4 linked regions of the Elephas maximus indicus genome follow. The protein of the gene in region 4 binds, or shares a complex with, the protein of the main gene of each other region. Links are inferred from orthologs where the notes say so. Each region holds a gene or a part of one and is shown on either strand. Other genes may lie near its edges.

The links. Proteins that work in one complex are often made in the same cells at the same time.
Region 1: SMARCA5 (region 4) and RSF1 share a complex: the UniProt entries of both Homo sapiens proteins name them as parts of the RSF-5 ISWI chromatin-remodeling complex. The link is inferred for Elephas maximus indicus from reciprocal best matches to the Homo sapiens genes SMARCA5 and RSF1.
Region 2: SMARCA5 (region 4) and DEK share a complex: the UniProt entries of both Homo sapiens proteins name them as parts of the B-WICH complex. The link is inferred for Elephas maximus indicus from reciprocal best matches to the Homo sapiens genes SMARCA5 and DEK.
Region 3: SMARCA5 (region 4) and MYBBP1A share a complex: the UniProt entries of both Homo sapiens proteins name them as parts of the B-WICH complex. The link is inferred for Elephas maximus indicus from reciprocal best matches to the Homo sapiens genes SMARCA5 and MYBBP1A.

The regions. Positions count from the first base shown.
Region 1 is NC_064825.1:44,265,699-44,273,030, forward strand, and holds the start of RSF1 (remodeling and spacing factor 1), read left to right. Parts: upstream 1-4,329; 5' UTR 4,330-4,559; coding exon 4,560-4,746; intron 4,747-7,332. UniProt on the Homo sapiens protein: Regulatory subunit of the ATP-dependent RSF-1 and RSF-5 ISWI chromatin-remodeling complexes, which form ordered nucleosome arrays on chromatin and facilitate access to DNA during DNA-templated processes such as DNA replication, transcription, and repair.
Region 2 is NC_064819.1:63,692,709-63,700,441, forward strand, and holds the start of DEK (protein DEK), read right to left. Parts: upstream 3,004-7,733; 5' UTR 2,922-3,003; intron 2,515-2,921; 5' UTR 2,503-2,514; coding exon 2,355-2,502; intron 1-2,354. UniProt on the Homo sapiens protein: Involved in chromatin organization.
Region 3 is NC_064837.1:16,665,993-16,673,545, reverse strand, and holds the start of MYBBP1A (myb-binding protein 1A), read right to left. Parts: upstream 3,004-7,553; 5' UTR 2,973-3,003; coding exon 2,766-2,972; intron 2,575-2,765; coding exon 2,479-2,574; intron 1,795-2,478; coding exon 1,711-1,794; intron 1,587-1,710; coding exon 1,512-1,586; intron 1,394-1,511; coding exon 1,286-1,393; intron 168-1,285; coding exon 1-167. Other genes in the region: GGT6 (glutathione hydrolase 6), read right to left, coding at 6,239-7,272. UniProt on the Homo sapiens protein: May activate or repress transcription via interactions with sequence specific DNA-binding proteins. Repression may be mediated at least in part by histone deacetylase activity (HDAC activity).
Region 4 is NC_064831.1:41,246,770-41,253,768, forward strand, and holds the start of SMARCA5 (SWI/SNF-related matrix-associated actin-dependent regulator of chromatin subfamily A member 5), read right to left. Parts: upstream 3,007-6,999; 5' UTR 2,560-3,006; coding exon 2,383-2,559; intron 1-2,382. UniProt on the Homo sapiens protein: ATPase that possesses intrinsic ATP-dependent nucleosome-remodeling activity.

The DNA.
Region 1 (7,332 bases), on a different chromosome or scaffold from region 4:
GATTTTAAAACCCACTAACCTAACCAGTTGCCACTGAGTTGATTCCTAATTATGATGACCCCACGTACTCCATGGAAACCCTGGTGGGATAGTGGTTAAGTGCAGCAGCTGCTAACCAAAGGGTCGGCAGTTCGAATCCGCCAGGCGCTCCTTGGAAACTCTATGGGGCAGTTCTTCTCTGTCCTATAGGGTCGCTATGAGTCGGAATTGGTCCGACGGCACTGGGTTTGGTTGTTGGTTTTATGTGCTCCACGGAGTTTTCCATGGCTGATTTTTCAGAAGTAGATCACCAGGCCTTTCTTCTGAGACACCTCTGGATGGACACGAACTGCCAACCTTCTGGTCAGCAGCTGAGCACGTTAACTGTTTGCAACACCCAGGAACTCCATAAAACCCACTAACGGGTCAGTTTAAAAAATATTGCTTTAGGCTACGGTGATATTTAAAACATTTAAAATTTTAAAAATATTTAACAACGATGGAACCATAGAGTACCTATTCAATTGTGTCTGCCTTCTTTCACTCATGGTTTTGCAGCTCACCAGCGTGGCTGTGTGCATCAGTATGAGCAATAACCTATTGATGGAATAGATCACTGTCCATTTTTCTGTTGAACATTTGGGTTGTTTTCCATTTTTTGAAAATTTGAATAAACTAGTCATTGATTCTGACTAAACAGATTGTCTTTTTTTTTTTCTAAAAGGATGTGAAATTTGATCTTAAGAAATTTCTTATTAATAAACAAAGTGAGACTGAGTATAGATAATGTAACACTTGTTTGAAGGCCTCTTCACTGCAGTGGCAATAGATTAATTACAGGTTTTAGAAAAAGCTTCTCTTTTCTTGCATTTACATTCCAGTTGGATGTACGAAATTCAGTTTACTACATAAACTGGGACTAGACTCTTGTAGCCTATAACCTCTTATCCCAGAAAGGCGAATAGACAAGGTGGTACCAATCATGAGTGTGTGTCCAAGAAGAGACTTAGTGAAGGCACGACTTAGTGAAAGCGAGTGTAGTAAAGCACCTCTTATCTTCTGGATGGATATAAATTTCTGAGGCTTAAGGACTTTGTCCCCATGCTAATCTGGATCAGCAAAGGCAGAAACTCTAACCTTATTTATCAGTCCCCTTTTGAATAACAGCGTGAACATTGGGAAAACAATATAGTGTAAAAGCTTTTTTTTCTTCTTTAGAACGTTATTTTACAACCTTATGAGAGTGAGAGCTGTGGTACTAGAAAGCCTGAAAGCAAAGAGATAGAAAGGAAGGGGTGGGTAAGGTTTCATAAAAAAAAAAAATAATAAAATAATGACATAATTAAATCTTTTTGGTTTCAAGGTTCTCTCCATAGAAATTACTTCACAAAGATATTATTTTCTTTACTACTGGGCATCTGGCTTTTATTTAAGGGCAGTTAAGTAATGACGACTTGATGGCAACTGGTTTTTGGTCTGATCTGCAACTGATCGTGGGGATGACGTGGTGTTTAGTTCCATTGTCCATGGGGTTGCCATGAGTTGGTAGCTGACTTGCCGGTAGCTAACAAGAACAAGTAACGACCATGTGAAAGTTTTTTTCTGCTTTTTTATTTTGGGTATCTTTCTGCAAAACTGTTATAGATGTGCTCTGGGTCAGATTTTTCTTAAACCAGGGTCCTCAGATCCCCAGGGTCTAGTGACACACACTAGGCAGTCTGAGAGTTCTACCAAAATGGTTTAATTTAGTTTTGCATTTCATTTCAAAGATAGCTTATAAAATTTCACCACTCATTAAACTTAAAACTTCTCTTTTGCAATAATAATTCATAACCATCAGACATCTTCCTAAAGTAAGACTTTAATTTCTTACATCGGTATTTCTTAAACTGGAATTTTCAAAAGTATTTGCCAAGTTTCAGATGAACTGTTTGTGTGTCTTCCTCTTTAAAAGTGATTCAGGAATATTACTCAGCCTTAAAGAGAAATGAAGTCCTGATACATGCTATAACATAGATGAACCTTGAAAACATTATGCTGATTGAAATCAATAACAAAAGAACAAATATTGTATGATCTCGCTCATATGAAATATCTAGAATAGGCAAATGTATAGAGGTCAAAGTTTATTAGTGGTTACCAGGGCTGGGAGGAAAGGAAAGAGGGGGTGTCAACGCTTAGGAAGCATTGTGTTTCTGTTCAAGGTGATGGAAAATTTGGGAACAGATACTAGTGATGGTTGCATAATATGATTAACACAATCGATGTCACTAAATTCTACACATGAAAAATGTTAAATTGGCACATGTATTTTATATATATTTAAAAAGATTTGACAACAAATCTTTAAAGGAAATTTTAGGTAATGCAAACAGAATGATAGCTGTTGCTTACTATATTTTTAAAACAATAAAAAAAGTCATTCGTATATTATTCGAAAATCACTATTCTAGGCAATAAATTCCTCCAGGAACACCTCTTTTTCTCATGATAAATGAGTATTCTTTATATAATGAGGACAATATAGACCACTGGGGTGGTGCAGTGGTAGAATTCTCTCCTTCCATGTAGGAAACCCAGGTTTGAGTCCTGGCTAATGCACTTCATGCACAGCTACCACCTGTCTGTCTTTGGAGGCTTATGTGTGTTGCTATGATGCTGAACAGGTTTCAGGGGAGCTTCCAGACTAAGACAGACTAGGAAGAAAGGCCTGGTGATCTACTTCCAAAGCTCAGCCAATGAAAATCCTACAGATCACGATAATCTGGCCTGCAATCAATCATGGAGATGGTGCAGTGTTTTATTCCGCTGTGCATGGGGACACCAGGATTCAGGGGCCAACTCCATGGCAACTAACAACAATGTATAGTTCTTTATCTTCCTTTAATCATAAATTGTCCTAAACCATTGCTGTTGAGTCGATTCTGACTCACAGTGATCCTGTAGGACGGAGTAGAACTGCCTCATGGGTTTCCAAGGCTGTAAATCTTTACGGAAGCAGGCTTCCACCTCTTTCTTCTGCCCCATGGCTGGTGGGTTTCAACTGCAATCTTTCAGTTAGCAGCTGAGCACTTAATCACTGTGCTATCAGAGCTCCTGGCCTAAACATAGTTTGTATTGCACTTTGCTTCAAAATCTTTTTAGGAGGTAGGTACTATATAGGTTTTAAATGTACTCTGAAGATTTTGCCTCAAAGAAGTAAACCATAGGCTAAATAAATATAGCTGAATTAAGTCAAAATTCTATTAACTTCTTCCTTCAGTACTAGCAAACATTTTTAAGTATTTAAAATACACCAAGGCATTACACTAATCATTTAGTATGAATTATCTAGTAAAATTCTGTGATGTAGATATGATCATCATCTCCACTTCACAGAAATTTTAAGAAATGAAGAATCTTGCACAATGTCATGAAGGGGTCCTGTCAACTCTCAGTTCTGGCTGAATTCAAATCTTAGGTTTCTAATTATTATGCATGTTGCTTCCCAAGTTGTACATTCTATTTTGCATTATTGTTGATTGGTGGTTTTCCTCTGGGATTCTTTGTGGGAGAATGTTCCTCTCTGTCCCCCAACAAAGTGGAACCCTGTCCTCTAACAAACTTTTGCTTTTCCACTAAGTTATCTATCATATTTGACTCGTCAGTGGAAGCTTACACACCTTCAGACGCTGGTCTCTCAACAAAGCCCCTTCCCCTAACACCCTGGTCGCCTAGCAGAGCCCAGACACCTGAGACCCTGATCTCTCAGCAAGGCACCAACGCTTCAGATCCTGGTAACCCAGGCAGAGCTCCTTACCCTCAAATCCTGGTTCCCCATAAAAACCCCGCCCCTCAGACCCTGGTGACACCGACGGGGTCCCGGTACAAACCCGTTCTCCTCAGACCCTGGTCCCCCGTCAGAGACCCTACCTTCCCCCTTCCGAACCTTCTCCCAAAGTCATGTCTTTTTTCCTACTCTCCTTTTTCTAATTCACTCGCCTCAATTTCCCCCACCATCTTGTGGCCTAGTTTCAGTTCCCGGGATCCCCTCAAAACTCACCGAACTCTCCTCGGAGTAGCTTGCCCAAACGGTTCCGTACTTTACCTCTCACCTTCGTGCGTTTTGCTCTCTAAGCAAGGCGCTCCCCGCCCCTCGCACACGCCCCGCCCCCCAAAAGTCTTTCGGCCAGTCAGTGCCAGAAGCCCCGCCCCCCTCAAGCCTATTGGCCATCGCTCCGGAAAAGTCCCGCCTCGTAAGCTTTCAGCCAGCCTCCCCGCCCGGCTTCCCTTGTTTTCATTCCCCCTGTCACACGAGGCAGTGGCGAAACCGGTGGGAGGGGTGAAGTAGAGGGAGGGAAGGGGGCGGAAAGTGAAAGGCACAAGAGTGCCTCTCTTTCCCCTGTCTGGCTCGGTTCTCGACTGCTCCGGGACGCCGTTGTATTCTGGGATCGCGGCGCCGTCCCTGAGACGCTCGAATCCGCAGGGGAGCCCACTCGATAGCGCCTCCTGTCGTCTGTAAGGCTACCCTGCCATTCCCTGACACCCCAACTCTCCCCCATCACCCCCCCATCGCCTCCTCCTCCATCCTCCAGTTCAAAATGGCGGCGGCGGCGGCAGCGGCGGCGGCGATGGCTTCTCCGGGCTGCCCAGGTTCGTGCCCCAACTTCGCCGTAGTCTGCTCCTTCTTGGAGCGGTATGGGCCGCTGCTCGACCTGCCTGAATTGCCGTTCCCGGAGCTGGAGCGGGTTCTGCAGGCGCCGCCGCCGGACATCGGCAACGGAGAAGGTAAGCGAGGGGCCCGAACGCCCGGCGGGAAGCGGCCCTGGCGCGCTCCTTCTCTTGGCTCTTTAGGGACGCCCTGGGCCTTCGCAGCCCGGTTCTGGGGGAAGCTCCCCGCTCGACCCTTCTTTTCCGCCCTGCCCCCGGGGTCCTGGGCTGAGGGGAGGCGGGGCGGGGGACCCCTAGGGTCACCCGGTTGAGCGGGGAGCGGAGGTGGGGGTGTCGCGGCTAGGTGTGGGCTGGGGGTGTGCAGGGGTCATTGTGCTCGTCGGTCGCCCGTGGGGCCGCTCTACCGCGTCGGGGCTGGTCCCCCACCTCCTCTCCGTCTCGGTGGCGGGGGAAGGGGAGCGCAGGTTCCGGCCAGCTTTGCGCTTTTCTCCTCCCTCCCTTGCTCTCTCCCCTCCTCCCACTATCCTCACCACCATCTCGGGGGAGGCTGGGCCCATCTTCTTGGGGCGTCCCCTTCTTTCCTCCACCTGGGTGGGCGGGGGTAGTGGGCACAGCAACTCTCCCTGCCACTGGTGGGAGCTCCCACGAGAGAGTCAGCTCTCTACCTTCTTCCCTTCCCCTTGAGGGCTGGTTTAACCCCCAAAACTCCTTCTCCGAGTTGTGAGGTCGGCCCCTCCCTTATGGGATGGGGTCCTCGTCCATTCTCGCGTTGGGGGGTGAAGTCAGTTCGGCTTCTCCACCTAGGAGGATAAAGGGTTAATTCCTCCTCCCGCATAGCTTTCTAGCTTTCCTTCTCTCCCTCCCCACCTCCCCCCAAATAATGGAAAAGCATCTCTTCACTTTCCCCACTCACTCCCTTCCCCCGTCATCTTGGCAGCAGGGCTTCGGGAAGAAGAAGTCGCCCTCCCTTTTGCAGGGTGGGGTGGGGTGGTTTGTATGTAGGCTGGAGGAGGGGCTTAGACGTAGGGGGAAACTGTTGAAGAAGGTGCTTGTTGCTCATGTTTCTCTCTCTGGTGCTGCTGGTCTATTATTGGTGTTCGCAAGTGGTGCTCATTCCACATAAGGCCACCGCGCGGGTGCAGGGCGCATGCTCTGCCCGGCCCCATTGAAACTTCCTGCTGCTGCTGCTGCTGCTGCTGGTTCTTTTGCTGGAGCATCTCAGCGCTGTGCCTGCTGCCTCCAGCCTTCACACTGAGCACAGACACCATCTACTTATTCCCGATCCATGCCTCTCCTTTTCTGGCATATTTCTTCTCGCAAAGGAGGGATTTTTTTGTTGTTGTTGTACTCTGAGTATTGCCTTTATCTGGGAAGGGCCTCTTTGGCTGGGGAAGAAACGTTTTCCATATAGGTCTTTTTTTTTTTTCTGTTTGTTGGTATTAGGTGGCCAAAGTGGACTGCATGTCGTTCGAGACAGCTGTTTACTTTCCAGTAAAACATGGTTGCTCTTCTCTTTTCCATGGAAATGGAGACGTTTCCATTAACAGAATATATTTACATTGCTAGGAAGGGCCCAAGTGTGAAATTTTTCAAACTGTTACCTATAGAGAATATGAAGTTAGGACTACCAGAGTCTCAATACGTTAAAAGACAGGCCCATATCTCTTACCTTCCTAAATCCCCTGCACCTTTAACAAATCCTGGAATATGAAAGGCTTGTTTTTAAAACAGTATCAAATAAGACGGTGGTTAATTACATTTTATAAAGACCTCCTGCAGAATTTTTTTAAAAAGCTTTCTAGTGTAGTCATTTCATTAATGACCTGTAGTCACCATTTATTTTTAAGGAAGTATTCATTGTGAAGTGGAACGCCTTAGTAAGTTGCTTTTAGGATACCTTGGAGAATGATAGTAATGTATACCAGAGAGAGAAATGTGGGAATTTGGAGAAAAGGATTGCTGGTAAATTGTTTTTGGAATTTATTTGAACCAAGTTCAAAGTCAGGCATAGGCTTTCTGAATGTCATTGTCTTTTGGGTGATATTCAATATTGCTTGCCACTGCGTTCCTTTCAGTATTTTGGTCACTGTTTGATACTACCAGAAAAAAAAAAAGAATTACGGTCAGTTTAATAGTTCGTGTTATCTTTCTATTTAGAGTTGAATGGTGGATCACCAGTTAAGTAAGAAACGGAAATTACCCTGGGCTTAGATGAATCACGTAGCTCAGCTACTCCATTACTGTTCATATATTTGCAAAGGGGACTGATGATGTTCCTGTCATAAGGTGAGAAGCCCTGCTGGCGCAGTGGTTAAAGCAGTCACCTGCTAACCAACAGGTTCATGGTTCGAAACCACCAGTGGCTCTGGGGGAGAAAGGTGTGCGGCATTCTGCTTCTGTAGAGATTTACAGCCCTGGAAACCCCGTGGGGTCGCTACGAGCTGAAATGGACTCTATGGGCAGTGGGTTTGGTTTTGGGGCAGTGGGTTTGGTTTTGGGATTTGGTCATAAGGTGATCTACGAATAATTATTAATGTTACATGTTTAAGATGCTTGGCAAATGAAAATTCTCTGCGGATGAAATACTGTGCGGGAAAAAAATTTTAATGATGGTCAGCCTACTTGTAATTGATGAAATAACTCTGGTCCAGCTAACAAGTCCAGCACTGAGTCATCTTGGGATGGAGTTGTGGTATACTAGAA
Region 2 (7,733 bases), on a different chromosome or scaffold from region 4:
TTTCCTAAAACAACAAAAAAAAAGGACACTGAAGCTGGCTTTGAAGGACATGTAAAGCTTGAAGATGTATTTGCACAGACAAGACATGGATTTCAGCAGATATATTCTGGTATATTCCAAAGAATGAAGAGAAAGCACTCTAAGGCAGACACTATTATCACTCCTCTTCCTTTCCCTGCGTAATCTGAACCATTCCTTGCCTTTTACTATCATCTAAGCTATACCCTGGTGGCGTAGTGGTTAAGTGCTACGGCTGCTAACCAAGAGGTCGGCAGTTCGAATCCACCAGGCGCTCCTTGGAAACTCTATGGGGCAGTTCTACTCTGTCCTATAGGGTTACTATGAGTTGGAATCGACTTGACGGCAGTGGTTTTTTAACAAGCTATAAGCTAATGACTTCCCAGATCAACTACTATGTATGCCAACGGGACAGCTCTACTTCATGAACTACAGGTGCCTAAATTCAAAACAGGAGTCATAATCATCTTCAAACTTGCTCACCTCCGTCAATTATTTTCTTCAGCAAATGGTAATACCATACACACAGCTGCCTGAGACAGAAACCGAGGCATCATCTTTGAAACTGTCACTCTCTCTTTTACCACAAACCCCAACCACAAAACCACTGCCTAATTTGGTCACTCTGACCTCTTGCTTGGCAAAGATGTCATTAATTTTACTGCTTTGCTTCCATGAAAACTAAGTAGTAGAGGTAAACTTTCAGGGCTAAAAAAAAATTTCAGGGCTAGGTGAATAAAAACATTCAAAATTTTGGTTTTTCCACAAATACCTCAAAGGAGTGAAACAGAATAATAACTAGAACTATATCATTTTTAAAATAAAATTACCATTCAAAAAAAAATTACAATTTATTCATCCAGAACAAAATGAGGGCTTCTTTGAACTACTGCCAGTCCCCCCAAGCATTACTGTGTCAGCCACATCAGCCATTAATAGTATTTTTACATGACATCTTTCTTTCTTTCTGACATAAAGAAAATATTCATCATCTACTGTGGTGTCCCAACCATGCCCTAAAAAATGACTAAAATATCAACAAAAAATTGGAGGAAAGTGCTGAGAAAGTCTTTGACCAGAAGTGATATTGCAGTTAATTTCCAGTCACTGTATTATGAATTTAAAAATAATTTCTATTTTTTTTTCTAAGCGTTTTTGTACCCAATTATGGACGCACTCCCTTCTTAAAGCACATACCACTTTAAACAAACAAAAGACGTACCTTGTAATCTCAACCTAGACTGCATTTATAAGATGCTGATCGTAGACAGCTTTACACTTTATATTTAGACTTAAAAGAAACTGACAGTTAAACTTGGATTTGGGAAGAAAACTTCCAAACTCTTCCCAAGTTTGGCTGAGGTGTAGGCATATACTAAGTAAGCCTAGACTGGGCTAATACAGAAAAATGCCAGAATATGTGAGTTGAATTTTTAAATAGTTAAAAACATCTTAGGAAGTTTAAACACCTCAAAGATGCCTCACGCCATGCATCTTGGATAAACAGGCACAGCACTCGACTCTGTCGTGTTCTTCTGCTTCATGCCTTCAGTCAAATAATCTTTAATATCGTCCTCCCTTAGACCTGGCTGCCCAGTTGTTAAGGCTCAGCTGCTAATCAGAAGGTTGCAGTTCGAATCCACCAGCTGCTCCTTGGAAACGCTGCGGGGCAGTTCTACTCTGGCCCATGGGGTTGATAGGAGTCAGATTCAACTTGACTTCACTCAGTTTTGATTTTAAGTCACATTCAGGTCCAAAAAATGATAGCTCTGAGTCCATACTTCCTTTTAAGGTACAAGTAGCAACAGCTCTCAGCAGTGTTTCCCCGTGAAAAGAAACCTCCCGAAGTTTAGCAAAAATAAAAATATTTTAAATATATGAAAATATTTACAAGACTAGTACAAATGACTTCTCTTAGTTTTAAGATGAAGATTCTCTTTAAAGAACCTGCAATAACTTCATAAGGCAAAATAAATGCATAATTACTAAAAAGTAAAAAAAAAATTAACTCAGTAACTTTAAAGGCTAACGTACACACCGATTTAAAAAAAAAAAAAAAAGAAAGAAAGACCTTACAAACTTCCTGTCAAAAGATGAAATGTTATGAACGTAGCTAGCTGGCAAGAAGTCAACTACACTCCCAGAGTCACTACAGCAATGCTAACGAGTGTAAACGGAACACTGGAATTCACAAAGCTAACTGTACATTTCGCACACATTCCTGCTGCAAATCATTACTTCAATGCCTTTAAGCGCAAAAAGAGCAAAAAAGCTGTTTTCTACAAGAAAAACTTGCAACTAAAATATCCATCGAAACAGACAAGACTTCCGCCCACCTTTTTCTTCCTCTTCTTCTTCCTCTTCCTCCTCGTCCTCATCCTCCTCTTCACTTTCCTCTCTCGTGCCGGGCATCTCGGGGTCCTTCTCGGACGCGGGCTGGGCGGGGGTTCCTTCTCCCTCTGCAGCGGGGGCCGAGGAGGACATGCTGTTGTTGACCTGCGGGCGGGGTGGAAGCTTGAGGTCCCGGCCCCGGAGGCGCCCTAGGGTCACACCCTCGCCAGCCCACGACGGCGCCAGGTGTGAAGGACTGCGACCAGGGGGCGGCGGCACACCGATCCTCAAAGTTGCCTTCTCCTGCAGCTGGGACAGCTGCGCTCGCTCCCCTGGGGCGGGTTCCCTCCTGCTCCGCCCGCTGTCAGGGATTCCTGAGGTGGGAACCCACGGGGCCGAGCCCGCCCTCTCCCGCCGCCCCGCGCGCCCGGCCCGCGCCTGCGGGCGGCTCCAATCCCCTCCCCCGCCCGGCCGCCTTCCAAAAGGCCGCGTTCGTCCCCGTCGCCCTCGGCGGGCGCAGGCGGGCGCCGCGGCTGCCTCTCGGCCTCCACTGCCCCCGACGAAGCTCTCACCGCAGGGCCCGGACGCCGCAGGCCTGGCGCGCGAGGCCACGAGGAGGCTCCGGGAAGCGGTGGCGACGGTGGACGCAGAAGAGAAGGCGCGCGGGACGCTCTCGCGCGTGACGCTCGCGCCGCGCTCTCGGCTCCCCAGAATCAACAAGATTTTCAAAATGGCGGTTCGGGAAGGAAAGCGGGAATGCGGCGGCCAATCAGCGGCGCGAGATGGGAGTTGGCGGGCGCGGGCCGGGAGGCGGGGCGGGCCGGCGCCTCCGCGGGAAGCCCGGGGCGGGGCTGCGTCGGGGTTCCCCGGGCGCGGGTGGAGGGGCTGCGCGCTCCGGGGCCGACGCTCCGGGTACCCCCGGCTGCGTGTGGCGGTCGGTCGGCGGCGCTCGGGACAGGAATGCGGGAAGAGCGTGACGGGCAGAGAGCCGGCGGCGCCTCACGGAAGAACGCTAGGGGGCCTTCGTGCTTATTGTGTCTACTAGTCTTTCCGGGAACAGTAACGGGCTGGGGTCCAGGTGGGGGGCAGGGGGGTGGCAAAGAAGGTCAGAAATCCGGTGAAGCTGGTATTTGCAGAATTTCACAGAGGTGGATGGGAATTCGTGAATGAGGGATCTCATTTATGTCCCAGAGATTGTGCTGGGTGATGACTCCCAATCTTTGTGTTTCTTAGGACCCCATAGTTGTAACGAAAAACCCTGTCACATTGAATGTTCACATCACTAGAGGCGTAAGTGGATTTCAGAGCTGTAAATGTAGGAGATGCGCCCGAGAGCGTTACTGTGAATGTGTGTGTGTGTTAAAATGGAGAAAATAACGGAATTTGTCCGGTCCGGGCCAGCTCGGCAAAAACCTACATAATGCAGCTTCTTGCAATCTCTTTGCTCTCATCTCGCAGACATAGTTGCCTCATTTTCAGCCACACAGGCCTTTGATGTTCCTTCATGAGGACACGCTCATTCCCACCTTTGGGCTTTCTACTTAACTTTTTTTTGTCTGGAATGCTCTTCCCGCCACACCTTCAAATGACTTGCATCTTCACATCATTGAAGTCTCTCTGCTGAAGTGCTTCTCGTCTCCTCATACTGTCACTTTATTTCTTTACCCTTCTTTTTCTTTCATTTATTCAAAAAATTTATTGAATACCTGGTCTGTGTCAGTCACTAGGAACCAGAGCAAGACCAAGTGTTGAAGCTTACTTTCTAGTTGGGAAGACAATGAACAAATAAACAAGTGAATATACCCTATATCAAATAGTGATAAAAATAAAGCAGGTTAGGGGGAATAAGAAATACCAGGAGAGTAAAGCAAAAAAAATAAATAAATAAAAGCATTTGCCATTAAATCAACTCGGACTCATAGCAGCCCATGTGTGTCAGAATAGAACTGCTTCATGGCGTTTTCAGTGGCTGTAATCTTTGGGAAGTAGATCAAATTGTCCGACCTTTCTTCCAAGGTGCCTTTGGGTGGATTAGAACCACCGGCATTTTGGGTATAGTCAGTGTTTAACTGTTTGCACCACACTGGGACTCTGCCAGTACAGTGGACAGGGTTTTATACATTTGATGATTAAGGAAGGTCTTGCTGATAAGATGACATTCGAAAATAGATCTGAAGAAATTGAGAGCAGGGGAGATAGACTGGATATATTCGGAAAAATTCTTTAAAGTACTGGGTGTGGATATAAGAGACAGGAGTCAATGATAATATTGGATTTTTGGCTTCAACAGCTGGAAGGAAGAGTAGCTATTTACTAAGATAAGGAAGATTTCAGGTGGAGGAAGCAGGACTTTTCTTTTGGGGGGATCAGTTATTTTGTTTTAGACATGTTAAGTATGAGATTTCTGTTAGTATCTAAATGAAGGTATAGAGAAGGCAGTTCGTTATGAGAGTCTGGCATTTAGGGGAAGACATTTCTAGCTCAAGATATAAATTTAGTAGTCGTCAACATGTAGATGGTATTTAAAGCCCTGAGACCAGATGAGATCGCTAACAAAGGGGATATAGGTAGAGATGAGGAGAGGGTCAAGATTGCACCCTGGAGCTCTCCAGTGTTAAGATGTTCAGGAGAGGAAGAGGAATGAGCACAAGAAATGAGAAGGAGCAGGTGTAGCCAGTCAAAGTGGGAGGCCAATCAAGCAAATGTTGTATCCCTGAAGACAGGTGAGGATAGTGCCTAAGGAGGGAGTGATCAGTTGATCAGATGCTGCTTTTGAAAAGATCAGGTGAGGTGAGAACTGAGAAGTGACCATTGGATATAGCAATGTTGAGTTATTGGTGACATTGACAGGAAGTGTTTCTGTGTAATAATGAGTAGAAAGTGCCTAGAGTGGGGATACAGAGAGACAGGTAGGCAACGAGTGTAAGCAGATGCACTTTCCAGGAATTTTGCTGTTCAGGGGAGTAGGGAAATGGAGCAGTGGCTCAAAGGTAGTTTGGTTTTCGAGATGGGAGATGTTACTGTGTATTTATAGGTTGATGGGAAAGAAGGGAAAAGTGATGACGCAAGGCACCAAACCAAAACCCATTGCTGTCAAGTTGATTCCAACTCATAGCGACCCTATAGGACAGAGTAGAACTGTCCCATAGGGCTTCCAAGCAGCACCTTGTGCATTCAAACTGCCAACCTTTTGGTTAGCATTTAACCACTATGCAACCAGGGTTTCTGATGCAAGGGAGGAAGGGGATAATAACTGGAGCCAACCTTATGCTGGTGTTGCAGGCTAGGTTCTCTAAGTAGATGCTGAAGCAGAATTTGAGGAACCAGATTTTTTAGGTATCGATATGAGTGAAAGGAAGCAGGAGGAAGTATGATTGGGCAAAGAAAGGGGTCAAATTGCAAAGCAGGTCTGACAAAACCTGAGCCAACCCTGCTGGGAGCTCTGGAGTGAGTACTGCCCTTCAGAAGGTCATGAATTGGACCTGCCTGGCCAAGTTTTACTGTTCCCACCTTGCTCAGTCACTAAATGCAGCCTGCCCCAGGAAGGGCATGCCTTCTGGTGAAAGTGACTCTATAGCTCTGGCAGACCCTGAAGGAGCTGACAGCTGGAGGCTGTCTACTGCAGCTGGGCCACAGGTCCTACCTTGAAGGGAGATCTGGGTGGCACATTTTCATGTCACCACAGTAGATGAGAGGAGACAATCTAGTGCACAGGCAGGGGAGTTGCCTTTAGATAGGACCATGCACAAGCTTCTATACAGAAACAGGAAGGAAGACAGGATATGGGGACAGACGCAGGGGAGGGGGGTTGGTAGATGTCGTGGGAGTTTTACAAGTTCTGATTCCTTTCGGTTTCTCAGTGAAATCATGAGCAAGATCACTGGCAGTGAGTGTGTTGGAGAGGACTGTTGGAGGCTTCAGGACAGAGGAAGTGTGAACTAGTCATGAAGGAGAATGGGAGATGAATGGATTAGGAAATGTAGTAGGATGGCCAGGCAGCTACAAGGACACATTGGGATTAGTGGCCATGAAGTCAAAATGAGACCAGTCACCATTATTCTTCTCCAGCCATGCTTAGCTACCTGGGAGTAGGTGAGAGAAGGCAGAGAATTGGATTTAACCAGGCTGAGATTTTGCCAGGCAAGTTTGAAGAAAGAAGAGAAGGATGAGTTGAGGACGATTAATATAAAAAAGGACTATAGGAGCTGAGCTCAGTAAGGACATGAGAGAGGTGAGACTTAGTGAAGGAGGGAGGATCACTAACTAAGACCTTTCTCTTTGTTACATTTATCACTACCTGAAAAAAAATTTTTTTTTAATCATCTTTCTTCCCTACTACAATGTAAGCTCCATAAGGCTGTATGTTCCTCATGGTATCCTCAGCACCAAAAGCAATGCTACCACATCACTGGGTCAATTAGTGCTACATGAATAAGTGCAAGCTTAAATTAACACTTACTATAAAGATCCAGGACATTTTTTGGTTAAAGTGATGAGAAGGTGTGTTTGTCCAGAGCCTATAGGCTATTTCAGTGGCTTAATTCAGCAAAAATTTGTTTCCCTAGCTACAGTGCCCTCTAGTGGTTTAGTCAGCTCTCCAGGGCATGTGGTTTACTTACTGCTCTAGGTGACTTCAGATCCATTATCTCAACACAAATCTTTCATAGAGGACCAGAGCAGAGAAGTCTTGTCTTCTATGATTCTGCTCACTGGGCTGTGGCCAGATCAGTCATATGGCCACACCTAACTGGAGACTCTAGGCAGTATGGGGGCACGTATAGAATACTGGAAAGGTCCTTAAGTGGTGCAAATGGTTTGCACTCAACTACTAACCAAAAAATTGGTGATCACTTTATATGAGACCAAACAGTCAACAATAACTTTAAAACAAAGATGAGAATATAAGGGGGTAAGGGGTTATAGATTATTGGTAAACATTGCTGTCTCTGCCACAGAACCAAAAAACCAAACCTGTTTTGCCTTTGAGAATTTTTACATACACTGTACACACATCTTTTTTACCCACATATCTAGCTCTTACATACATATCTTTCCCAGATTGTAAGCTTCATGGGCAGAGACCGTGTCCATATTATTTATTACTCTCTCCCAGGTCTTGGCATGGTGCCTGACATATGATAAATACTTGAAAAATATTTGTTTAGTTGAAATGTACTTCCTTTTGGTTCTTAGACAGTGGCATGAGTCTGTTGTCTGGATGCTATTTAAAGAGCTTCCAGCAAAACCAGCTCAGTAAATTAACATGGTTTCGAGCTGATGACCAGATTCTTTTTTAAACCTGATCATAAATATAAATATAGCACCACATTTGGTTCTTCTAAAAACAAGATATCATACTCTATTTTGGTAGAAAGAGTTAGCCA
Region 3 (7,553 bases), on a different chromosome or scaffold from region 4:
TTCTCATCTGAGAATAGATCTACTGATCCCAGCAGCTTCTCGAGCTTTGCAGGCACCTTCTGTTGGGCTAAGAGGAAGAGTTCCAGGTACTCAGGGGAGCTGAGCACCACACCCAAGTCAGACTTGAGCACCTTCGGCAGGATGTCCTTTAACGTGGCCTCTGGGACCTGGGGGCAGAGAGACAAGTTCTATGAGGGTGGCTCACTCATAGCTTCCTTCATCTCTTCTTCCATGGGGTAAGCCCTACAGATCCCGTTCTACCTGCCAGGCTCCCATGAAGGTCCCCAGCAGAGTGCCAGCCTGAAGTGGGACAGCCACAATCCACCTTGCTTGGTATTTGATAAGAAATTCAAATTCCCAAATCCCAGGAAGCTCGGGTTTTAACAAGCATCCCTAGATGCTAACTGACCTGGGGCTAACCCTTTCAGTAATTCCTCTTTGGTTTTCAGAGGACCAAAAAACAAAAAAATCAAGCCAGTTGCCATTAAGTCAATTCTGACTCATGTGCGTCAGAGTGGATCTGTGCCCCGTGGAGTTCTTAATGGCTGCAATCTTTCAGGAGATTGCCAGGCCTTTCTTCCAAGGTGCCTCTGGGTGAATGTGCATTTGAACTGTCAACCTTTCGGTTATAACTGAGCACTTAATTCTTTGTGCCACCTAGGACATCCTTCAGAGGATCAGCCTGCTTCTTATACAAAATTCCCTAAACTGAGGGCCAATGGGAGAGCAGGGATTAGAATCCAGATTTTTCTATCTCTGAGGCTAGGCTGTGCAGAAACCACGATGGCCTCTTGCCTCTTTACTCAGTCCAGAGAGGTGGCAAGGGGTTCTCTGTGCTAGCCTACCTCACTTTCCCAAGTCAGGGCAGTGTAGGTCCCTGAGGGGCCAGCCCTGCCCAAAAGAATGGGCACCATCCAGTACAGTGGCTGCTAGCCACAGGTGGCTGAGCACTTGAAGTGCAGCTACCCAGAACAGAGATACACTGTAAGTGTAAAACACAGTGGGTTTATGACAAAAGGAGTGCAAAATCCCTTTTTTTTCTCTCCACACTGATTGCACATTGGAATGATAATACTTTAAAATGCGTTAGGTTAAATAAAATACACCCCTAAAATTAATTCCACTTGTTTCTTTTTGCCTTTTAATGCAGTTATTACAAAATTTAAAATGACACCTGCAGCTTGCCTTCATATTCCTATCAGACGGTGCTGCTTGGCATGTTCTCATCCGCTAACTTGAGCCTTCTCGATGTTTCTATAGCAGGGAGTGCCACCCAAGGTCATACCTCAGAAAGGATGTCCACCAGGGCCTTCTGGGGCTGCTCCTGTAAGTGGTTGTGGTGCTGGGTCAGGACCTGCAGCAGCTTCACGGACTTCATCAGTGCCTCCTGGTCCTGGCATCCACACAGACAGGCAGAGGGTATGAGGAGGGCATGCTGCTGTTCCCCACCACTCCCAAGCCAGGCCACATGCCCCGGGTGAGAGAACCCCCTGGGACCCCAAAGCTCTTACCTTCACTAGCCGGCCGGACTGAAAGAGGGCTAGCACCCCAAACAGGTGTGCGAAGAGAGCAGGTCTCACCATTGCCTAGAAAAAGATTCCAGGCTCAGATAAGAAGAGCTCAGGTACTACAGCACCCCGCCCCTTTCACTATCCTCCACCTCCCCCCCCGCCCCCCGCTGCTGTCCATCCTGGGGTCACCCGCTCTCACCTTCTTCACTTTCTGTAGGTTATATTTTTCTTGTATCTGCTCCAGGATGCTGCATAAGGGAATGTCCTCGAAAGACTGTAGCAGCTGCCAAGAGGTGTGATAGAAGGGAGAGGATTCAGGGGGTGGCCCCACCACATCCCCACATCCCAGCAGACGTCAACCTGTTTCCCCTTCTCCTTGAGACTTCAGCTGAGAGGCCCGGGGTCCCTGATCCCACCCCAAGGATGCCTCTGAAGCTGCTCATGTTGCTCTGATAGAACACTGCTGGTGAAAAGGAGCTGAACCTTACCTCCCTTGGCCCCTAGACTGCTTAACTGAGATGCCAAGATACCCTATCCCCAGAGCCTGCTGAGTCTTCCCAGGCTGATCCCAGAGGTCTGGGTTTTCACTGCCCTTCCCGTTGTCCAAGCTCCTCGGAGGGTAGCTTAGAGTCGGCTGGGTGCCCCTTGGAGACACAGGGCTGTGACCCTGCAGAAGGGGGGGGGGGCACTGCAAAGCTCATTCCTCCCACCAAATATACCTAAGGGGCCTCACTCCACCCGTGCACCAAAAAAGAAAACATGCTGAGCCTCCCCCTCCACTTCCCTGGGCCTGGGCTTCTTTGCAGTCAGTCTTTGCTGAGGCGCCTTCTCTTCCTCCACGTGGTGAATCTTCCCTGGGACTGGGCTTCAGATGTCACTCTCCCAACCTCTCCCTCAGACACCCCTCTCCTGCCAATTGAGCACCTGCCTCCCTCACACCCACCGTCCACAGGGACCACCAACTCACCTGTGCCAGGGCCAGACTGTAGCAGGGCCGGGCGGTCTCTCGCCCGACCCCGAGCCCAGTGATCAGGCGCATCAGAGCGTATTTCATCTCGGACCCCTAGGGAACCAAGTGCAAGCCTCGTGGGCCAGTGGCACGAGTCAGCTAGCCCTCGCGGACTCCCGCACCTCGGCCGGCGCCCGCCTGGGCATCCCCGCTCGGGACCAAGTGCCTGCAGCCCCAAGGCCCGGATCCGCCGCCACATCTGGCTGCATCTGCATGGCCGCCTGCTCCAGGCCCCGCCAGCGTACCTTCGGCCGTGTGCGCAGATACTCCAGCAGCTTCTCTGTGGCCTCAAGCCGCGTCTCCTGCTCCGGCTTCGCAATGTCCCAGAAGAAGTCCAAGAACTCGCGGCTGTGCTGCAACAAGCCATGGCGGTCGGCAGGCGGGGCACCGCTCTTGGTCGCCTCTCCGGGAGACACGGGCTCAGCGACGTCCTGACTCTCCATCTCCGCCATGCTCCACGAACACGTGGGCTCTGAAGACTGCCTCTTCCAGGTCAGGGCGCCGGGCATGCGCACTGGACTGGGTCGGCGGGGGAGGAGCCAGGCGAGGACCTGGGCGGGGCCGGGGCCGGGGCGGGGCCGGGGCCAGGGGCGGGGCCGTAGCAGGGCCGGGGGAGGCCCGACCCCCCTCCGCTCTCTCAGCACAGCAGTGAGTGCAGCTTCTCCCCAACCTCCCGGTCATACTCCCTCTCCCCGGGCAGCTGAGACATCTGTCCCCCTAGCGCCCCACCGGGCTCTTTTCTGAGGGCCCATCTCGGAAAAGCAATCCAAGCGAAGCAAATCGATCCACCTCGTCCCAGAGTGGCCCCTGCGCCCCGAACATAAATGCATTCACCATACAATCACTGAGCTCCCACTGCGTGCTGGGCGCAGTCCTAAACCGTGGGCACAAAGTCACTGCTCTCATCGACTTCCTTTCTAGTGGGAGGAGACAACTGACGAGCAAGTAACCAAAGACATTTAAAAGCATAATTATTATGAAGACAATGAGAGAGGTAAGAGAGAGACTTGAAATTATTTCCCCCAGTTTTTAATTAGACTTTATTTTTTTAGATCAGTATTAGGTTTACAGAACAAGGGCTTCGAACAGAAAATATAAAAACCAACCATTGCCGTCGAGTCGATTACGATTTATAGTGACCCTATATTTTTTAGGACAGAGTAGAACTGCCCCATAGAGTTTCCAAGGGTGCCGAACTTTTGGTTAGCAGCTGTAGTTCTTACCCATTACAGCACCAGGGTTACAGACTTCTTATGTTTTCTTTTCTTCCCTGAACATTGTTTCCCATACTATTAACAATTTTTCACTCCTGTGATACACTTGTTACAATTGGTAAACCAATACTGATACATTGTTACTAGCTAAAGTCTGTATTAGGGTTCACTCAGTATCGTACAGTCTGATGGGTTTTGACAAATACATAATGTTGCATGTGCACCGTTACAGTGTCATACAGAATAGTTTCACTGCATTAAAATTGGCGTGTTCTCCATCTATCCCTCCCCCCTCCCTTCTCTCCCTTGCAACCACTGATCTTTTCACTGTGTCTGTAGTTTTGAGTTTTCCAGAAGGCCATACAGTTGGAGTCATACAGTATGTAGCTTTTTCAGACCAGCGTCTTTCACTTAGCCATATGCATCTAAGGTTCCCCCATGTCTTTTCATAGCCTGATAACTCATTTCTCTTTATTGCTGAATAATACATTCAAACGAAATTTGAAACAGAAATATGTCACCCATTGAAAACATTAAGTTAAAAATAGAACTCAATAGGTACCAAGATACTGATTGGAGAGGGTGGCCAGGGAGGCCTCCATGAAGAGATGGCACTTGGAGCCCCCAGTGGGAAGAGCTAGGAGGAAAAAGACCCTCGGGCAGAGGATACTACTGCTACGAAGACCCCAAGGCTAGATGGGGAGGTTGGCAAGATGGGTGGAAGAAGCAAGATCTGCCAGGACCTTAGGCAGGGATCACGAGTTTGGCTTTTATTCTGAGAGTGATGGGAAGTCACTGGAGGGTTTTATGGAGGGGGCAAGCCTTAATCAGATCCACGTTTTGAAAAGATTATCCTGGCTGCTGTACTGGGGATGGATTGTAGGAGGGCAAAGATAAAAGCAGGAAGACCAGTTAGAAATGATGGTAGATTGGGCCAGGGTGATATGAGAACAGGTCAGATCTGGGCTAATTGGGAGGCGGTAGGCACAGGTGAGAAGCCCTGGTGGTGCAGTGATTAAGTGCTCAGCTGCTAACCAGAAGGTGGCAGTTAGAACCCATCAGCCTTTACGTGGGAGAAAGACGTGGCAGTCTGCTTCTGTAAAGATTACAGCCTTGGAAACCCTATGGGGCAGTTTTACTCTGTCCTACAGCGTAGCTATGAGTCGGAATTGACCTGACAGCAATGGGTTTACTAATCAAAAAGTTGCTGGTTTGAGTCCACCCAGAGACGTCTCGGATGAAAGACCTTTTGATCTGTTTCTCAAAGATCAGCCATCGAAACCCTTATGGACTTTTAGAGACCATCTATAAGGGGTCAAACCGACAATGGCAGTGAGTTGATGTTAATAGTGGAGGAGCAATCAGGAAAAGGAGGGTGAGAATGTCTGCACAACTTGAAGAACGTGACCAATGTCACTGAATTGTACATGTAGAAACTGTTGAATCGGTGTATGCTCTGCTGTGTATATTCTCAACAACAGCAACAAAGAAAATCGATTATTAGAACATGAAGGAAAAAAAACCCTAAGGAGCACTGTTCTACCCTGACACACTTGGGGGGTTGTTTTTTCTTCTTTTTAAGGGGTGGGTGATGAATTGGGCATGTGGGGAGAGGAATTGCAGACTTGGAGCCAAAATAACCAGGTAGATTGTGGCACAATTTGCTGAGCTGGGGGAGAATTTTTTGGAAGTGAGTGGGTGGGGGTGGGATAAAGAGTTCAGTTAAATCAGAACTGACTTTTATAAGTGCGGGGGTGGGGGGAGTGTTCAACGGGCTACCCTGTTTCTTGGGGGAGAGGGCCCGAGAAGCTGGCTCCAGAGGGCTGTGGGCCGAAGAGACTCCAGCCCTCAGGGGGTAGGAGGATCAAGGCCAACTTCTGCAGTTAAGTGCATACACCCAGCTCCAGCCCCTTTTGTATCCAGGGCCCTGGGACATCCCCCCACTCATCCTCTCAACACCTTCTTTGCTCTGCTGCCTGTTTGTGAAAGTCAAATTAAGAGGTTTACCATGTACATGGGGTCCCTGGGTGGTACAAAGGCCTAATGCACTCAGCTGCTAACTGAAAGGTTGGTGTTTTGAGTACCCAGAGGTGCCTTGGAAGAAAGGCCTGGTGACCAATTTCTGCAAAATCAGCCATTGAAAACCCTATGGAGGCCAGTTCTATTCTGACACATGTGGGGTCACCGTGAGACAGAATCAGATGGCAACCTGTTTTCTATGCACATATGGCCTCAGGCTGAGCTGCTCTCTCCTTATTCACCTCAAGTTCTTTGCTGAAAAAGAAGCCAGAAACTCCATCCAGCAGGGATGCTTTGAAGATCGACTGAGCTAGCCCTGGACACCCAGGACTCAAGTCCAGGTAACTAACCAGGTCAGAGGTTAGGGGCCAGAGCCAGCAGTGAGCATGTATTAGATGCATGTTCCTTGTGTATTCCATTGCCCTGGGCCTGCCCGGCCCTGCCCCAGGCTCCAGACAGCCCCACCCCTGCCAGACCCTACCTGGTTAGAAGCCCTGAAAGGGGCAGCAGCCGTGGGGGACACTGGAGACATGGGCATGCTCTGCGTGGGCTGTCACCTGGAGCAGGGTCCCCTGAACACAAGCGCTGGGGCTCTCTCTTGGTTCTTGCTGGTGCTGGTGCTGAGCCTGGGTCTGGGGCACTGCCAGGTGTCTGAGCAGGGCGCTAGTCATGGCTCTGGTCACTGAGGGGGCCCCTGAAGCCACCAGCCCCAACACATCAGCCTCCGTGTCATCTGGGCTGCCTAGAAAGATGAGGGGGCAAGCCCAGGCACTTGTTGCAGACTTGGTGACCAGATTGCTGAGTAGAACCCCCGTGCTGGGGGACACGTATCCAGAGCCAAAGGAGCTGTTAAGTGAGGAGGTGAGAAGGAGCACAGAGCCACTGCTGTCGATGGTGGCCAGGACGCTGCTTACGGGGGTCTTGGCAGCTTGCAGGAGTGGTGGGCAGGGGTCAGTGCTGGGCGCCCCGGAGTGAAGAGCTGCCTCCAGCAGGGCCAGCAGTTCTGGGCCGGCTGATGGGCTGGGGGTGGTGAACAGGATGCCCTGGGGCACAGACAGTTGCAGGGCTGGCTCCAAGCTGGGCATGGGCTCAGCTGAGGGGGCCTCCAGCCCCAGGTCACTGGCCATCAGACTCAGGAGGGTGTCCCCGGTGAGGTCTGGGGTGGGGGCAAGTGCTGCCCTGTGTAGCACAGCTGCCAGCCTTGGGTTGGTGGCTCGGGACCCAGGACCCAGGGGGGTTCCATCAGCATGGCAAAGCAGTGGGCAGAGCCCCTTTGTGCCCTGGGCTGCCAGCGCCCTTGCCAGAGGTGGGTCTACCAGGAAGCCCTCCTGAGCCAGCAGGGTGGGGCCCCACAATAGGCGTGGCCAGGGCAGTCGGCCGAAGCGCGTGTGCAGCAAGCGCAGGGCAGGCAGAGTCGCAGGCAGCTCCAGCCCAGGGGCCAGCATCTGGGCTGGGCCCGAGGTCATGGCAGTTGAATTGCCTGAGGAGCTATTGTGGAAGAGACCCCAGAACATGGCACCTGAGGGGAGAAAAAGGAGTCACACAGAGGTCAGGGGCACTGGCCAGGATGGGGTCAGAGTCACTGACTGGAGTCAGGGTCACCCAGGAACCCTAGGTGAAGCATCACTAACTTGTTTGAGGTTGAGTTTACTGACTGAGCCTGGGATCAGGAGCAGCTGATCAGTCCTGGAAACAGGAGTCAATGACCAGATTTGGGGTCAAAATCACTGCCTGAATCCTAGATCCTACTCACAAACCAGCCCGAGGTCAGGGCCACTGACTGTGCCTGCGTTCCAGGTC
Region 4 (6,999 bases):
AACAACAAAAATCAGTAGCAACTTCTACACTGCAAAGTTCCATTCATCCATTAAAAAAAATTACATAGGAACAGTTGGTAAAAGCATAATTCTCATTAATGATGTACAAATCTGTGCTTGGTACTACACGCTATAATGAAGCTAGATGTTAAAAAAAAAAAAAAAGGTGAGTGGGAGAAGCTGGTGTAGGTGTTATAAGTACAAGATTAAAAGGTCAAATGACCTAAATTCAAATGTAACTCCATTGCTAAGACCCTTAGGAACCGGTATAACATTATGTCCTGATTTTGGAAGAAATCTACCTTACATCCTACATTCAAAGAAAAACGCATTTTAAAATATCTTTTTTCAACTGTGAAACAGGTTAAGATTGTCGCATATATAATACCTGTGTGTTCAAACTCAGTTTTTATCAGTGAACTTCCATGCCTTCTGAATTTGGATTTAAAATTTAAAAAAAAAAAAAAAGACTAAGGGTACATTTACTTTAAAAGAATATGTCACTGTAATGTGAAGAAAAAAATAAAAACTAGTCAGTGAAAAGGTGGATGGATAAAAGATAAAATCACTGATATCCCAATACTGAGAAGGTAAAATAACTCACTAGGTCATCTACAGTAAATGAAAATGCAAAATATCTTTCTTTATAAAAATATGACACAGCAAGCTATGTGGGAAAGGGGTCAGTTTGGGAGCCAGACCCGGGTTCTATTAAAGGTTCTACTTAGCGAAAGACTTGATTTCCTCATCTGGCAAATGAAAACTACCACTGACTTCATCACGTTGACATTCATTTTTAAAATTTAACTCAAAAATAGCAACTGAAAACCAAAGTATTTAGTTCAGGCTTTACTCTGCTTTTTGGTATTTAAATAAGACCTCTGGGGAGACATCTACATGTTGTTATTCCAAAGGCTGAATGGCAGCCCCTTTTAAGATGTTAATCAAAACTACAAACATCTCTTTGCAGAATTGTGCATTCACATACAACCTTATGCTTTCAATTTCACTGGTTTTCACACCCCCTGAAGCCATTAAGCAGGAATCCAAAAGAACCATTTAAAAAACCTTAAGGAAAAAAAATAAAAAAAGGGCGCAACACTGGATACATCTAAGCTTGAAACAAATTTCAATCACTGGAAAAGCCAGAATATCAGATTTCCTATTCCACTTAAACCTACCCTCACCACTAAAAGTTCTTTCAAAGACTAATAACATGAAGTTAATTTCTTTACCCTAAATTAGACCTCTGATGCCCAAATAAAACTACTGCGGCAAATGCCTTACTGGTAAACTGCGCTATTTCCTGATTGTATTAATTCTGCATCAGGGTACCTTTCTAGAGCAGTATTACCTTCATCCCGTCTATCTAAAGAGGGGAAAATCCTGAAATCCTCGTACTGCGACACTAAAATATCTCAAAACAGGTCGGAGACCAAGACTGAAATTCGAAGGAGCAATCATTTTCTTCCCAGACATTGCGAAGCCTTGGTGCATACCCAAGAGACCGGGCCTGGCAGCTCCTTATCTTTCCACCCCCGCAGTACAGTCGCCATCCCCCTGGCTGACCAGAGCCGACAGTATCTATTAGAATATAGATAGCGGTTATCAATTACAAGAAAAGAAAGGCCAAGGCCACAAAAGACGAGTTGGGCTGGACTGAAGGCCAACCAACCACCCCATATTCACTAATTCATTCATCCATCCATCCATTCCCCCCAAATTAAATGGGGGTCTGGGACATCTGCCGTGGCCTTGGCCGCTACCCTCCCAGTGGAACAGTGTCTGGGAGGGGCCTCTCGTCCCTTCACCAGAGCAGCTGCGCCCGCTTATCCCCACTGCGCATTCGGCCATCCAGCTCTCGCCATTGTTTGTGCCCAGAACAGATACCGCCCCACAAGGACCCGGAGGAAGAAAAGGCGGCCCGAGTCCTCGGATGCGCGGCCTCCCTCTCCGCGACAGTCTGTCCCTCACTCCCAAACGGCACATCCCTCACCCCTCCCCCAAGCTCAGAGAAAACTAAAACCGAGATTCGCACAAATTGGAGAGGGAATTATGGGAGTCCAGTGAAAAGAAACGGGGAGCTCCCACCCGGCCACAGTAATCAAGAACATCTGTTTAGTAAGAGCCACCGAATATTTGGCAAGATTTGCTAAAGAAGCAGATAATTTACATGCAAACTGTTCGGAATCCATTTGAGTCTAGACAGGATAAGCACGAAGGCGCATAGACGAGAGCATCGTTTGGATCCAACGAGCCCGAGCCCGAGCCCGAGTTTGGTGCTGAGGGGTGAAGCAGGGCTCCGCGTCTGAGCCCTCAAGTCAGGGGGAGGGAACCAGCTTCTCCTCTCCCCGCGCCACACGCCGCGCTCAGGTCCCTCACCTCCATCTCGGCGTTGGCGGGGCCGGCGCAGGCTGCAGAGGAGGCCGCCTGGGACACGACGCCCTCCGGTCCGCCTTTGTTGCTGCTGTTACTCCCGCCGCTGGTAGCAAAGGCTGCGGGTTTGGAAGGCGCGCTCTCGGGAGGCGGGGGTGGCGGAGGCTCGGCTGCGGACGACATGATGTTCCGGCTGCGTCAGCCGCTGCTGCCAGGGGCTGGGTCCCGCAGGGATGGAGGAAGAGGCCTAGACCTGGGGAAGGAGCTGATGGACCGGCGAGAGGACTCCCTGAGTTCTCCCCGGCACCGCGGCTCCGTGACGGCCTGAGCGGGACCCAGCAGCCTCCTCCTCCTGGTCGTAGGTCTCCTCCTCCGCGCAGCTCCGGGTTCGACCCGCTGCTTACCTCACGGCGGGAATCACGTCGACGAGAGTGGGCGGGGCCAGCCGGGTCACCGAGGTCAGGGGAAGCAGGCCGATTTAGAGGAGGGTGGAGGGTTAGGGGGAGGGAAAGGAAAGCGAAAGAGAGACTGAGGTGAGGACCTAGCTTCGCCTCCTCCTCTTCTTCCACCGTCAGATATCATCTATGTCGCCAGCAACTCGGACAACTACCTACGCCACCGACTTCCAACTCTCGCGAGATAGCGGGTTGGCTGCCTGGAACCCGAGAGCGCATGCGCTTCCTTCTCCCCTCACTCGCCTCCCGCATCACCCGGGCCCCCAGCGGCCTCTGGAGAGCGAGTGGGTGGGGGGCTCTGGAGAGAGGAGTGGGTGGGGCCTCGAGGGAGACGAGCGCTGCCTGGAGACGTCTGACACTTACGTAGGCTTCCCTTGGCTCTTTGGCCTGACGCGAGTGCAGCCCTATGCGCGTTCATAACGGCTCCCCGGCCTTGACTCTCTTATCTTATTGGCCTGGCAGAGGTCAGCTGCATTTCCTGAAAACTTGCTCAGATTTAGCACGGGGAACTGAAACGTGGCGGCCTATGCTGGGTCTTAATACTTGTGCCGCCTGTATCTATAGGCGTGACGCCACAGCGTTGACGTAACGCCGTCGTTATCCATAGTGAAGTCTTCCTTATTTTGTTCTCTCCAGCAAAATGTCCCTTACTGTGATTTTTATAGTTAATTTTCACTTACTGGGTACATCAGTGGAAACCCTGGTGGTGTAGTGGTTAAGTGGTACGGCAGCTAACCTAAAGGTCGGCAGTTCAAATCCGCCAGGCGCTCCTAGAGAACTCTATGGGGCAGTTCTACTCTGTCCTATAGGGTCGCTATGAGTCGGAATCTATTCGACGGCACTGGGTTTGGTTTTTGGTTTTGGTGGGTACATCAATAATTTAAAAATACGTTTTACTTCCCTTCAATGTAGAGTTATTACTAATTTCTATGCTAAAAGCAAATTGGCGCGCACGCTACGGTGTGAGTGAAACATGATTAATCAATAGACAGGAAAAGAGAGGTACGGGTTGAATCTTTCCCTCGACTACCAAGCATAAAGTTAGAATGTGCTTTCTCCTTAAAAATGTGTGTTAACAAAAAATCAACTTTTTATTTTTTTGTAGACTGCCTTAGGCTCTCTACAACAACCTAAGCTCTGTGCGTTCATCTATTACAGAATTGAAGCACGTTGTATACTATTTGATAACTAGTCTGCATTTTGCAGTAAGTTCTTATCTTCCCTACACAGAGTTTTATTCATTTTTGTATTCCCATGTACCTTATTCTGTAAACATTTATTCAAGAGTTAAGGCTGATGGCTGCTCGCAAGCTTTTAAGACCCCAGGAACCGCCCAAAGAACTAGGAAGTAGAGCAGAAGCACTGAACATGCTAATAGGCTAGTTAACTGAAATGTTCATGATACCATCACTCTAAACTTGCAAACCAAAACCCTTGAGGCATTTGGTTGTACCTATGCAGCCTTAACAGGTACTCTTTGTGTGTGTGTGTTATTTTTATATGTCTATCGCACAACTTTTTCCATTTCAACTTTTTACACATGTACAACTTACTGACAGCACTTACAGTAACCCGTTGTGTAACTCTACTGTTAATCTACGCCATTTTTTCATCGTGGTAAACTGCCCTCCCCCTTTTCTCCTTCCTTCCAGTCCCTGGTAACAACTAGTAAACTTTGATCTCTATACATTTACGTTTTCTTGCCTTTTTATGTTAAGTGAGGTCATACAATATTTGTTCTTTGGTGATTGACTTATTTCACTCAGTGTAATGTTTTCAAGCTCCAGTCATATAGTAGCAAGTATCAAGACTTCGTTTCCTCTACTGGTTGAGTGCCATTCCATTGTATATATGTACCACGTTGGTTATCCATTCATTTGTTGATGGGCGTTTAGGTTGTTTCCACCTTTTGGCTATTGTGACTAGTGGTGCAATGAACATTGGTGTACAAGTCTCAGTCTCTACTTACAAGTCTTTTGAATATATACCTAGGAGTGGAATTGCTGGTCATATGGTAGTTCTGTTTTTAGTTTTTTGAAGAAAACACCACACTGTTTCCCACAACAGCTGCTCCATTTTGAATTCCTCTCAGTAATGTATAAGGGTTCCAATTTCCCCACATCCTGGCCAACATTTGTTATTTTGTGTTGCGTTTTGTTTATCTTAGCCATTCTAGTTGGAGTGAAATGGTATCTCACTGTAGTTTTGATTTACATCTGTGTTCAATTTTGAGCTCAGTGGTTAACAGCTACTATTGCTAACCAAAAGGTCAGCAGTTCGAATCCACTAGCCACTGCTTGGAAATCCTATGAGGCAGTTCTACTCTGTCCTGTAGGGTCGCTATGAGCCAGAATTCACTCCATGGCAATGGGTTTGGTTTCAGGTTTTTATGTTCTATTTGCCTGGAGCAACAAAGCAAAAAGGAGAGTCAGGCATAGGAGGAAGAAGTGGAATGTGTGGCTAATTGCCTCATGAAAAACTGCCTCCTTTGCCATGAGACCAAGAGAACTGGATGGTGCCCAGCTACCATTACTGAACATTATGATCAAAGATCAAAAAGAAGAATCCTGATCAAAAGGGGGGAAATGCAGAACAGAATTTCAAATTTTCATAGACTCCAGACTCTGGAGCCATGGAGGCTGGGTGAATTCCTGAAACTATTGCCTTGAGATAATCTTTAAATCTTAAACCAAAAATATCCCCTGAAATCTTCTTAAAACCAAAAAAAAAAAAAAAAAGTTTAGCTTAAATGATAAAAAAAAAAATCTCTTATTGACCATTATGCCCTTTTAAGAGCTATCTATATGGGACCAAACTGACAATAGCAACTCGAAGGATTCTATCTATAGGAACATCAAAGGGCAATGCATTTAAGTTAATGGGGGAGGAATAACTCAGAAAAGGAGGTAAGAATGGTTGCACAACCCAAAGAATGTAGTCAACGTCACTGAATTGTACACATAGAAACTGTTGAATTGGTGTAAGTTTTGCTGTGTGTATTCTCAACAACAACAAAATAAATAAATAAAATTTAAAAAAGTGTTAAGATTGATCCAAATGGTTGATTATGTTGAATTTCAAACAGAAGGGATATCCTTTGAACATGTATCCTGCAAACTTTTGAACTAATGAAATGATAATACTTTAATTGAGGTCTGGAAAAATGTCCCCAACTCATCAGAAATACCATTTCTGAGTCTATAAAGAAATATCTAAGAATATATGCTCGTTAGTATTTTCCAGTTTTTTTAAAAAATAAACATCATCATTATTGTATTGAGAAAACTCACTTTTAAACAATGTTCTTTCTCCCCAAAAAGATGGCGAGAAAAGGTAAGGAGGTAGTGTCTAGAGTGATACTTAATATAAAGACATTTAATAAATATTTATTGAGTAAATACTTATTTAATATTTACATTCTAAAGTAGAAATAGTATTTAGTAGAAATAATATTTATTTTATATTCAGAATAGTTATTCAGTCTACAGTCTTAGGAAAAAAATCTCTAAAATTATTCTTAAGTATATAAGTAGAAGGATCTTAAGTCAGCTCACTATTTAAGGAAAGCAACAAATAGCAGGGAGCATGATAAATAATATTGCCCCCCAAAATGGCAATTGTCTTTTAACATTGCATTTATTCTGTGAGTTTCTAATATGAGCATATGGAAGCTGCATAAAAATCTTGTTGGAGAAAATTCTAGAGAATACCATATTTTTTCTTAAACAGTGCATCCATGTAAACAACATGCATACATATATAAAACACAGAAATGATGAAATTATGTTTAAAAGTTCTGGCTTAACACACAAGTCTCGTGGCCTTTCCAGAAGTGAATTTCGACCTTCTTCTTCATTCAGTAGTCCAAGAATGTTACTTTTGATCATATTTGTATAATAAAAATATAAGCCGTGGTCAAGAAGTCATCAGTCAAGTTTGGTAGTACCTCGGTAATTGGAAAATAAATAATTGAAACTGCATTTGTTTATATTAAGTTGATAATTATATCCCCATCACTTTGAGTCATCAGTCTGAACCTTGAACCTACTGAATTGAAGCCTATCCATAAATCACATGCAATCAATTGGAGGAGCCCTGGTGGTGCAGTGGTGACTAGCTATGGCTGCTAAACAGAAGGTCGGCAGTTTGAATCCACCAGCTGCTCCTT